Linked DNA regions of Ovis aries. The protein of the gene in region 3 interacts with the protein of the main gene of each other region in a pairwise test. Links are inferred from orthologs where the notes say so. Each region holds a gene or a part of one and is shown on either strand. Other genes may lie near its edges. The genes, in order: BAHD1, INPP5D and KHDRBS3.

What was found.
Region 1: the proteins of KHDRBS3 (region 3) and BAHD1 interact in binary tests that used the Homo sapiens proteins (3 or more experiments, as listed by UniProt). The two-hybrid records come from large-scale screens. The link is inferred for Ovis aries from reciprocal best matches to the Homo sapiens genes KHDRBS3 and BAHD1.
Region 2: the proteins of KHDRBS3 (region 3) and INPP5D interact in binary tests that used the Homo sapiens proteins (3 or more experiments, as listed by UniProt). The two-hybrid records come from large-scale screens. The link is inferred for Ovis aries from reciprocal best matches to the Homo sapiens genes KHDRBS3 and INPP5D.

The regions. Positions count from the first base shown.
Region 1 is NC_056060.1:34,276,735-34,280,123, forward strand, and holds the end of BAHD1 (bromo adjacent homology domain-containing 1 protein), read left to right. Parts: intron 1-105; coding exon 106-206; intron 207-675; coding exon 676-865; 3' UTR 866-2,841; downstream 2,842-3,389.
Region 2 is NC_056054.1:7,901,927-7,905,955, reverse strand, and holds the start of INPP5D (phosphatidylinositol 3,4,5-trisphosphate 5-phosphatase 1), read left to right. Parts: upstream 1-1,208; 5' UTR 1,209-1,371; coding exon 1,372-1,505; intron 1,506-4,029. UniProt on the Homo sapiens protein: Phosphatidylinositol (PtdIns) phosphatase that specifically hydrolyzes the 5-phosphate of phosphatidylinositol-3,4,5-trisphosphate (PtdIns(3,4,5)P3) to produce PtdIns(3,4)P2, thereby negatively regulating the PI3K (phosphoinositide 3-kinase) pathways.
Region 3 is NC_056062.1:19,608,856-19,613,176, reverse strand, and holds the start of KHDRBS3 (KH domain-containing, RNA-binding, signal transduction-associated protein 3), read left to right. Parts: upstream 1-1,495; 5' UTR 1,496-1,949; coding exon 1,950-2,037; intron 2,038-4,321. UniProt on the Homo sapiens protein: RNA-binding protein that plays a role in the regulation of alternative splicing and influences mRNA splice site selection and exon inclusion. Binds preferentially to the 5'-[AU]UAAA-3' motif in vitro.

The DNA.
Region 1 (3,389 bases), on a different chromosome or scaffold from region 3:
TAATCTATTTTGGGTCAGGAGTCCCAGCAGAGTTCATGTCCATCTTGCTCTTGGAGTTAGGTGCTTCCCACCCTGGTAGCCAACCTCCTTCTGTCTCCCCTTGAGCCTTTGCAGAATGAAGTTTTTGCATCGCGACATCAAGACCAGAACAGTGTAGCCTGCATCGAAGAGAAGTGCTACGTGCTGACCTTTGCCGAGTACTGCAGGTGGGTGGCGCCCTGTACCCCTGGCTTGCCTCTCCCCTCAGACTCCCCAGACTATTCGTGGGTTGCCTGTGATCCCCAAGGGGATTTGACTCATTGGACCTGACCTCCTAGAACTTTTTTCCAGTCTGCTTCCATCATCTGATTTTTATAGGAAAAAAAATAAAATCGTTCCCCTTTTGAGGCAGAGTGAATTGGGACAGAGTTTCAGGGTTGGGGATGGTTACAGTACTGCTGTCAGAAGGCAATCAAGGAGAACTGGCAGGTGTTTGGTAGGGAGGTTCAGTAGGTGTGGGTCCCCAGGGACCAAGAAGATGGAGTGGTGGTTGGCAGAGAGGGCATAAGCCCCAGGACAGGAATGGAGGCAGCAGCTGCCCTTGGGGAGGCTGGAGGGGATGTCCAGCTCTCTGGGCAGGGTGGGGAAGGAACTGGTCTTCCTGCTAAGACAGCTGTGAATGGTGTGTCACTGCAGATTCTGTGCCATGGCCAAGCGCCGGGGCGAGGGGCTTCCCAGCCGAAAGACAGCACTGGTGCCCCCATCTGCGGACTACTCCACCCCGCCACACCGCACAGTGCCCGAGGACACGGACCCTGAGCTGGTGTTTCTTTGCCGCCATGTTTATGACTTCCGCCATGGCCGCATCCTCAAGAACCCCCAGTAGCCTCCTCACACCCATGCTGGGGCTGCCCACGGGCAAATGGGGCTCAGGGCAGGGGGCACTGCTTGAAGCACAGCACTTGGTTAAGGGGCCACAGGAGCTCAAGGTGGCTGGCCTGTGGTTCTCTTGTGGGGGAGGGCAGGGGCCCCTGTGGGATTGGGCCCCATGGGAGGGAAGGGGAGGTCAGGGTATAACAAAAGCATCAGAACCCTCAGCTTGGCCCAGGGTGCCTCTCTGGGGTCCACGGGCAGAGGCTCCTAAAGAAGCAGTCTTCCCTGAGGCTGGGCCAAGCCTGAGGGGCATGGGCCCTGGAGGGACTGGGGGAAGGTCCTTCAGGAACCATGCCCTTCTTGATCCTCCCCTGGGCCCTTCAAGGGGGCATGGGAGCCAGCTTTACCTCACCCACTGTGACCCGCTGCCTCCCCATTAGCCTGGGACCAGGCTCTCCCAGATTCTAGCACAGCTCGGAGCCCATTCCTTTGAGGCCTGGAGAGCCAGTGTCTGGCTCCCAGAGCATTGACTTTCTCTTCCTGGACTTGGGGCCTTTCTCTGGCATTCCTCCTTTGCCCTTGCAGTAGCCCTTGGTGCTGGGACAAGTTACCAGCCCTCACAGTCATGGGTGTGGCCCCCTCGTGGGAGTCAGCTTCCTGTCCACCTCCTGGTGAAGGCCACCCAGCAGGTCTGGCTTCCCAGAAGTTAACTGATTAACACGGGCTTTGTCATGTCTGGGAGAGCAGAAGAGAGCTGGGAGGGGGTGGGGGCAGGGGGCAAGGAAAATTGCTACCTGATTTATTGAAGACTTCTCCTCTTGCCTTACACTTGGAGGTTCTAGGAAACCTCTTGCAGAACTTCACACATGACTCTTCAAGCCACACCCACCTGAAATCAAACCAAAGGAGTGCTGTGGCTCTCTTTGCCCCTGACACCCCTTTCCCTAGTCTTTTGTAGATTGCACTAATTTACATCCCAGCAAGAATCAACACTGTATCAGTCCACAGACCTGCTGAGCTGCAGCCACTCACTCTAGGAGCTAAGGACCTGCATTTTTAGTTTGTTCCTCTTGCCAAGGGGCCCTGTTGTCACCTCATGCCACTCCCCAGAGTAGATTAGGAGGCTCAGCCCCCTGCTGTCCTTGCCAGGAGTAGGCCCTGGCCCTGGGGCACTCTGTGGGGCTGGAGCAGCCTGGTTCTTTCCTATTTGTACCAAAGAGGAGCCTGACGGGAAGAGGGAGTGTGGCTTGGGCCTGGTGTTGGGCGCATGCTCAGCAATTCTGCAGGGTACCACCTTGGGGACAGGAGCCAAGCAGGGCAGGACTGGGTCCCCCTCCCCTAGAGAGGGGCAGACAGACCCCACAGGCTGAGGAGGTTGCAGTGGGTGAGGACAGTTGGGCAGGAGCTGGAGAGGCAGGTGGAAGCAAACCCTGAGGGCACACCCAGCAGTCCCCAGCCCTGCCCTGTCCCTGCGCAGACGGCTCCTCCTGGACCATTCAGAGGTGAATTCACACATGGGAAACCCAATCTCAAACCCCAAGGGAAGAAACTTGGGTCCCTTCTTACTGAATAAGCTGTTTGGAGGAAGACATCAGTCAAGGAGGGTGGGGCAGTAAGAGAGGGTGGCAGAGTGAGAGCTGCTAAGGAGCCCAGCCTCACCCAGCAGGAGGAGGTCAGGCCTCCTCCAGGGAGGTGGGGTCCATTGCCCAGAACTTAAATGCTTTTGAAATCTCTTAGATGTGGAAATATTTTTTGAACCTGAAAATGCAGCTGGTAGAATTTCAGTGGAAGCATAATTCATGTAAAATATATTTTAGTTGATATTTTGTAAAATGCACTTTTTGTGTGTGTCGACCCTGGTTTCTCAGATCTGTATTTCAGTGTTTACAAGGGAGGGAGGGCCTTTCCTCACCTCCCTTTTGACAGAGATTAGAAGTACTTCTTTAAGAAAAAAATAAATTTGAGACATTGTATTGATTTAGAAAAGGACCATTTTCTGCGTGTCCTGTCATCTTTTTGTGTGTGGGCTCACACCTCTTTATTTTGGAGGGGCTCCTTAACTATTGCAGTGCAAGGACTCACTGAGGCCAGTAAGCCAAGAGCACAGGAAAGAGGAGGGCGGGTGGAGAGCAGCAGCAGGAGAGGACACAGAGGGAATGGCAACTTGGAGTTGATTTCTTCGCATCGTGGTAGCTGAAGCCACCTGCCTGGGCTGAGGGAAATCCTCGGGTCACCAGTTCTTACCTGGCTGGTGACCTGGGAACTCACCTCCAATTGGTTGCATGGTGAAGATACTATTTCATCACCTTCAGTCATGCCCCTGGAGAACTGGTCAGCAGAAACTGAGGGCCTTGGCATCTTGCACCTGTCACTCACGAGGAATTGAAGGCCACATCATGAGGCAGGGACTCAAACCTGGACCATTGGTTCAGTCAATCCAGCCCTCGCCCCAAAGCCTCAGTGTTGACTGTGTCCAAGGTGGGACGTCGTCTAAGGCTGGGGGTGTTCCTTGGAGGCAGTTAATGCTGCTCAGCTGT
Region 2 (4,029 bases), on a different chromosome or scaffold from region 3:
AAGGAACTGACCAGCTCCTGCACCTCGGATGCAGAGGACCCGATTCGAGTTGGGGCTTGCCTGGCCCTGGTGCCTGGATGCGGCTTCTTCTGTTATGTCACGGGGCTGGCTGAGGGCTGAGACAGGACCAGGGGTCTTGTGCAATAGGTCGGCACCTGCCCCTTCACCCTGGGGCACTGACCCAAGCACTAAGGGCTCCCCGTCTGGGGTCCAAGCATGGTGCCCACTTCAGAGCCCTCAGAGCCTGCTGATCCTGGATGGTGGTCCCCACCTCCCCAAAGGCAGCCCTCACTTTGAGCTGTGGACCAAGGTAACCATGCCTGGCCACCTCTACCTCCAACTCCAACTCTACCTGAGATGTGGGACTCAGGAAGGAACGCCATCCTTGCCAGGTGGCCAACTTGCCCCAGGGATAGGGGGACATGCGTGAGTGTCCCAAGTGTCCCAGAAAGTTCCAGAGGTGTCAACCTGCAAAAGGTCCATGTCCCGAGAGTCCTCCCAGCTCCCTCTGCGTGTCCCTAAGCTGGGCTACAGGGGTCAGGCACATGTGCTGCCCTGGAGAAGGGCTGCCACGGGCTCCCACATACCCGCCGGCCCCCACAATGGGTATAAAAGTGTTGCAGAGCTGGCCCCGGGGAGCTCCCGGGTGGTGTCGCCCAAGGTCTTCCCAGCTCCCAGGGCTGAAAGGTGCCCAGGTGTGTCTCAGTATGAGTAGGGGGCTCGGCTGGTACCCACCTCGGCGGGGGTAGTGGGGCAGGCCTCAGCCCCAGTTGAGAAGCCCGACCCTGTGAGCCTCCGACCTGCGGGCATGTCAGAGGGAGTGGACAGGGAGGTGGAAAGCTCAGGGGTAGGGCAGAGGGCTGGGGTGGGCGTCCTCGGCGTGGCAGCCCCACTCGGGGCATCGGGTCATGGGTCCCAGAATGGCCAACCCTTGGGCCTCACTCCTTCAGAGGCTGGCCCTGAGCCTCCTGACGCCAGAGGAGCTGATAGATTCCCCTAGGAGGACTCGAGCTGATATTCCCCATGCCAGGGACCAAGACCCATTAAAGAAGGGAGCCGGGGGTGGGGGACACGGCAGGGCTGGGGGTGGTGGTGAGAGGGAGGGGCAGCAGGCCGTGAGGGGGGAGGTGGAGGACTGTCTTGCTTGGGCTCTGCAATGAGGAAGTTCTCTGCAGCTCAGCTTCCTTTCCCTTGCCGAGTGCCTGAAACAGGAAGTCGGCCAGTGAGCGGTGGCGGCGGCAGCAGCAGCTGGGGCGACTGAGAGGGAACCCACGGGGGTCCAGCGCAGGAGCGCCCAGCTCCCCCGTCGGCGCGGTGTCCGGTCCAGTGGTGAGGCCGCCGGGCCCGGCCCCGGGGACACCCGCGCCCGCCATGGTCCCCTGCTGGAACCATGGCAACATCACCCGCTCCAAGGCAGAGGAGCTGCTCTCCAGGACGGGCAAGGATGGGAGCTTCCTCGTGCGTGCCAGCGAGTCCATCTCCCGGGCCTACGCCCTCTGTGTGCTGTGAGTACCCGACCTGCCCACCCCGGCCCGGCCTGGCAGCGGAGGTGATGGAGGTGCCGCTTGTGCACAGGGCAAGCTGGCTCGGGGCACGTTGGGGCCCCTGCCCTGGGTTGGGGTTGTTTCTGTGTCCAGCGACCTTGCGCTTCCCAAGTTTGTTAGTGGGTCCAGCTGAGGCCCGTCGGGGGACCTGCTTGGCCCTGGAGTTGGGGTTTTGAGAGCAGGAGCCCTCCAGGGCTAGCCTGGGATCTGGGCCACACACCCCAGCGACCAGCAAGCAGCAGGGCCAGGGGCTTCCTTGAGGTTCCAGGGACCAAGGGGGTGGGGGGCGGGTTGTCCAGGGCCTGTGAGCCGGGCGGAAACTCAGGGCTCCGTGGTGGTGGGAGTGTTAGAAAGCAGCTGGGTCAGTTCAGGTGTTGGTCAAAGATGCCCAGTTGGGAAACCCTCCTGGAAGAACAGAAGTGGGAAGCGGGAACCCTTCCTGTGCCAGAGTATGGGCCTTTGGAGGAAGCTGTTGTCTGGGGAGCTGTGAAGACGGGGAGTCGCTCAAGAAAGGATCAGAGGCTGTATCTGGGGCCCTGGGAACAGAGCAAGTCATGTTACCTACAGCAGGAGCCACTTCTCACCCGTCCAAGGCCCTCAGCCGTGTCCCCGCCTTTTGAGGCCTGTCGGCCACCGTCGACTGCCCCCCCCCCGCCCCCAGCTCTGGGATGCTGCTGAATGCACCAGTTGTCCTAAAACTGGGGAACCGGCCACTTGCTGACGGTTCCTTTTTGTAACACCCTTCTCCACCAATGTCTGAGAGAGGCCCTTGGCCCTGCCACTCTGCCACCCTGCGGTCTAACCATGCCCGCTGGGGCCTCGGGCATGATGGGGGAAGGGCACGTTCACCTGCACTGCTGAGGTAGCACCCCTGGGCTTGCGGAAGGGTCCCTCTGAGCAGGCAGACCCTACCACCATCCATGCAGGAGGGAAATGGGTCATGGACCACAGACTGTATTTGGAGCTTGTTGAGTTTGAGCATTTGTCTGTGTATCAACCTATTTCAACCTCGTGAAAATCTGAAGTGCAGGTCCTTTTGTTGGCCGCTTTTGCAGATGAGGAAATTGAGGCTCAGACGAGTTAACCGAGCGATGACAAAGTCAACAATGTCCGTCCCCAGAGGCTGCACCCAGGCAGACAGATGGCTGCCACCCCAGTCCTGTACCTGTCAAGCCGGTGTGAGCCTGGGTTCCAGTGGCAGCGAGAGAAGCCAGGGTGTTTACCGGGGTCAACTGGGAGTGTTTAGAAATTAACCCAGGCTTTTAGCCGGCCACCTGGCCCAAGGTCTGACTGCATCAGAGCCTCGCCCTCCCGAGGCCAGCTTCTTGAGCCCCCAGTTCTCACACCCGGGGTGGGGGGAAAGGGAAGCAGACCCAGTCTTCCCCACAGGCACAGCCCCTCTGTAGAGACAGGGCGTAGAGACAGTGGGGACATCCTGCTCTGTCTCCCCTCAGCCCACGTGCAGCTCTCCCCTCCCCGCAGAGACCTCGGGAGCTTCCAGGCTCCAGCTCACTAACCTTCACAGCACCCCCTTGACCAGGGAGCTGTGGTCAGGCTCAGGCTATAGATTGGAACGTGGGTCTCTGACTCTAAACTGGGAGCCTTGTGCCAGCCAGAGACAGAGCTAGGAAAAGCCATGAAACCTCTAGGCCCACCGCCCCTGACTTTGCAAGTGGGCAGACCTCAGAGAGCTTGAGGCCTCTGTCCACGCCGCCCTGCTGTGTGTGTGTGTGTTAGTTGCTCAGTGGTGTCCGACTCTTTGCGACCCCATGGACTGTATACCTGTCAGGTTCCTCTGGGATTTCCCAGGCAAGAATACTGGAGTGGGTTGCCATTCCCTTCTCCAGGGGATCTTTCTGAGCCAGGGATCGAACCCAGGTCTCCTGCTTTACAGGCGGATTCTTAAGCGTGGGGGCCACCAGGGGAGCCCCCACGCTGCTGGGCTGGCTGGTGGCAAACTGGGACCCCAGAGGGTGTGTGGCACCCGTTCCTCTCTTTTGCGTCTTCTTCCCTCCCCTCCCTGGTGCTGAGTTACTCTTGGAGCCTTGGCGACTGTGCGGGGTCTGCCTCCTCGGGAGGGTATCCGTGGCCCACACCCCACCCCATATCCACCATCCTCTGAGTCCAGGGCTGGGTTTCTTGTCAGTCTCCCAGCCCCAAGGCCCCTTTAGCTCCAGACAGCAGGCCTTGCAGCCCTCCCCAGGGAGCCCAGCCATGAGGCCAGGCACTAACTCCAGGCCCAGGGCTCCCCTCTCCCCTTGGCTCTGTGGGGGGAAGTCAGCTTCCCACAGGGGCAGGAACCCCTGTAGGATGTGGGATACCACGAACCGCCGAACTTTCCAAAACCCTGGGAGACCTCCTTTTGCCACCACCTTTAATGTTGCCAATTAAAGAGATTTAAAAACGAAAACCTAGCTAAGTGATATCTAACTGCCACCTTTTAGCCGTTCATTTCATGAAAGCATCCTTTAACGGCACCGAAAAG
Region 3 (4,321 bases):
GGGTGGAGCTTGAGAATGAAGGAAGTTCACACTTCGGGCTGGGACCTAGAGCAGCGTAGAGCTCCTTGATTCCCGCCCCAAGCATCTCTGGGTATAGTGTGTGCTCAGTCACTAAATCGTGTCCCACCTGATGCTTTGCGATCTCACGGACTGAAAGAATACTGGAGTGGGTTGTCATTTCTTTCTCCAAGGCATCGTCCCAACCCAGGAATTGAACCCTGAATCTCCTGCCTTGGCAGGTGGATTCTTCCTCCCATGCCATCAGGGAGGCCCCCCTTGGGTGTTGTCACCTCTATTTGCATCAAGAGTACAGCCAGTTGCCTGGGGGCTTGGGAGGAAGACCTGCTCCCAGAGGAGTGGCATGTCTATGGCTTATTCCTTCATCACACATTTCTGGTGCCCCTACACCCGTCCTAGGCCACTAGGTGCTGGGGATCCTTCCCCATAAAAGAAAGCTCTAGCCCTGTCTGTGAGGTGCTCATGGTCTGGGGAAAACAGAATCAGAGTTCTCCGTGAGTGAGGCCTGACCAGCGCTGGTGGGACACAGAACAGGTACCACTTTGTTGGGGAAGTCCTGGAAGGCTGTCCAAGAACAGGGACGTAGAGGCCCGGACTTGAGGTGGGATATGATGGGGCAAAGGCAGGACAGACTCGGAGTCTTCGGGCCCCGCCACTGACTCTACCTGGGATATCTGAAAACGGTCCGATGGAGGATTTGTCGAGGTGGGTGGCTGTGCGTAAACGAAAGGAGGACGGCAGCACCCACGTGCGTCCAGGGGACTGCGCCCCAGAGGGGACGGGCTGCGGCTCCCTGCCCCGCCTCCGGACTCGGCGGATTTCTGCGCGAAGAGAATGACAACCCGGCGGCAAGCGGAATGACAAAGCCGACCTGAAGGGCACGCGCTTTTATGTAATCGACCTCGGTTCCAAGGGTCTCACGGGTTGGCGCTGAGCGCAAGAGGCACCCACCGAGGCAGGACGGCTGGGCGCCCACGTTATTTCCTAGCAAACAGGAGCAGGGGAGGCAAAGCGAGCTAAGTTATGGAAGTCCAGGGAGCTTGAGAGCAGGGCAGCTCGCCCCGCCGCCCTTTCCCAGAGCCCGCGGCGGCGAGCCCGGGTGCTCCTCGGCGTCCTTCTCCGCCCGGCCCCTGAGCCGAGCGCGCAGCCCTCCTCCCGGGATCGCTCGCTGGGTGACCTTGGGCGAGCCGCTTGACCTCTCTGGGCGCAGTTGCCCGGGTTCTGCGTCTCGGCCCGCCGTGGCCGAGCCGCGCGGCGCTCCGCGCACGCCTCCCAGGGAGCTGCGGACCGGCGCGGCGCCGGCGGGAGGCCCCCGGGACGCCCCTCCCGGGCTCGGTCGCGTAGCCGGGAGCGGCCCCACCAGGCGGCGCGCCGCAGCGGGCGGCGGGCGGCAGGGCGCGGGGCACAGTGCGCAGGCGCGGCGGGCGGGGCGGGGCCGGGCGCGGCGGGCGGGGCCGGGCGCTCGGCTCCGCGGCTCAGAGAGCGCGGGGCGGCGCGCGGCGTGCGGGTCGCTGCTGAGCTCCGCGCCGGCGCCGGCTGGCGGGGCTCGCCGGGGACTGTGTCCAGTTCGCGGAGCGCGCCGCCGGCTCGGCCGGAGGGCCGCCTGATCGCTCCGGCCCGTGGCGGGAGCGCGGAGCCCGCGTCTGGGAGGCGGCGGCCGCCAGCGCGGGGCCGTCGGCGGCCAACCCCCGGGGACCAGGGCTGCGCGGCCGGTTCCCGCCCCGCGCCGCCGCCGCCGCCACCGCCTCCGCCGCCGCCGCCGTCCCCGGGCCGACTGCTCGGCTTGGCTCCGCCGCGCCCCGCGCCGCCCCACCGCGGCGTCCGGCCCGGGTTCCGCGCCGCTGGGGCGCGGGCGGGGTCGGGGGTTGCGGGGCCGCCGCCGCCGCCCGCCCGCCTGGAGTCCGCGTCCCGGGCCCGGGCGGCCGGCGAGCATGGAGGAGAAGTACCTGCCGGAGCTGATGGCGGAGAAAGACTCCCTGGACCCATCCTTCACGCACGCCCTGCGGCTGGTGAACCAAGGTGAGGGCGCGCGCCGGCCGGCTGGCCGACCGACCGACCGACCGTTAACGGTCGCCCACGGCCGTTGGGGACCCGGGAGCGGCGGGCTGGGGGGAGGGGTGGGGGGCTGGAGACTGGGGGGCGTCGGGCCCGGGGGCGAGGCGCAGGTGTTGGGGGGTGCGGAGCCGTGGCAGCGAGCTGGCCGTCGACCTCGGGGCGACCGGAGGGGACCCAGGTCGCAATCTGGCGGGGGGCGCTGATTCGGGTGGGGATGTGGGACACCTAGGGGAAGCCGGAGTGTTGTGTGCGCGTTGTGGGGAGACGCGGGAAGGGAGGCAGGCTGGGCGTTTGGATGCGACTTGAAGGGAATCTGTGGGGGACTCGAGGGTACCCCAGGGAAACTTGCGGGTGGGGCACCACGAGCATCTGGGGGCTTCGTTGGGGCGGGGGTTGAATGAGCTCATTGGAGGGGAGAATGGGGCGGTGGGGGGCACCAGGGAACTAGTTGCGTTTGGTTAGAGAGCTGGAGAAAGAACTCGAGGAAAATGGAAGGATTCGAGGGGATCGGAAGCAGAAGAGGTGAAGGGAACAGGTGCTTGGATTGTTGGTGAAGTTTGAGGACCTCGGAAGAGGTTTGGGGTCAGAACCCCCGGCACGTTGGAGGAGCAGGGCCCGCTTTCCCGGTTCCCTCTTCATTCCTCTCTCTCTCTCTCTCTCTCTCTCTCTTTCTCTTTCTCTCGCGGGTCCGGGCTCTCGCCGCCCTCCCCGCGGGTGGGCAGCTCACACCTAGCCTTGCAGGCCGGCCCTTGGAGAGTCATCGGGGGGCGGGAAGAGACCCACGCAGGAGAGTCTGCTTCTTGACTTGCCTGTCCTCTCTCTGGGAGGCTCTGGGTGGGTCACCCTCACTGGGGGCCGGCTCGGGGTTGAGAACACTGGCCAAGGAGCCTTTGCTGCTTGTGCCATTTTAGCGCGCCTCGGGCCAGCTCAGGGCGTGAGCCGCCCCGGGAAGTACCGGACGCGGGGTGCCCCGGCGTACGGAGGCGTGCCCGCCCAGGACGGCGTTCCCTGGCTTGTTCCTTCTCCAGCTTCCCGAGTAATCTGCCGGGATGGACGGTAAATGAAGCCCGCCTTCCCCAGAGCGATGTCCTTCATCCCCTCCTGGATCTGGAATGCGTGTTTCAGATAAAGATGGGTTTGGGAGCCGTTGGTATGCTTTTTCTCTGGGTGATGGCACAGACCATCCGGCAGAGGTTATCCCGTCAGATCTGTTACCTTTTGCACGAATCACTGTGCCTTGAGGGTCTGTGGTTCCCGACTCAGCCGGGTCTGCTGATCTTCATGCTGACCCTGGCTTTTTGATTGTTGAAAGTGGAAGATGAGGCAGACATATTCTATTTGAATATAGGTGTCTATATTTTACAATAGCGACCTCCGGTATTTGCCTATTGCAACCCGTTCTTCCTAGTAGGGTGTGTGTGTGGTCGAGTGAGGGTCTTGGTGGAGGGACTGACTGTCTGCAAGAATTTAAGCTTGGTATTTAATTTGTTGAACAGAGATGGGTTCACTGAGCTTTCCCATTTTAATTGTAGGCTTATTTTTATTTCTTTAATAAAACGGGCTTGTGAAAAAGTAATGGCTATGCGTTGCAGAAAGCGAATTTTAAGTTTTATTGCCATGCTCTTGTGAACAGTTGGGTTTGTACTCCTCTCTCTTTGTGATTTACATATATCTTTTGTTGCCTGCTGGGCTGTCATCTCTATGAAAGAAATTTCTTTGTACGTTGTGTGAGATCATTGGCATTAGAAATATTCTGGATTGTGGAATGAAGTGTATTTTTCTGAATAAAGAAGCTGAGTCAAAGTTAGGTTGTACTCAATTAAAGAAGCAGTTTTAACAAAAGTGTAGTAAGTTATCTTATTTTGAAAGTCAGAACTAATTTTCTGTGCCAGGTTGCTGTGGCATTCATTTTGCTAATACATTTGGAATTCTTTTGGTTTCTTTGTTTTTACCTGTGGTAATTGCTTCCAATTATTTGAAACAGATCTTGGGCAATGTTGCCATTTAGTTGTTTTTTTTTTTTAGGTGTTAAACCTGATTACCTTACTTTTTCATCAAAAATGTAATTCTTGCAAGAGGTACATTTCTTACATTGAACAGTTAGGGAAGTAACTTATTCAGATATTCTTATTACTGTTAATTTAGATTTCTTCAGACTGAAATGTTTTCCCCTTAAATCACAGGCTGCTTTCTGGAATGCAGAGCTCTATCATTTAAAATATTAATTATGCTGTTACGTAACTCCAGA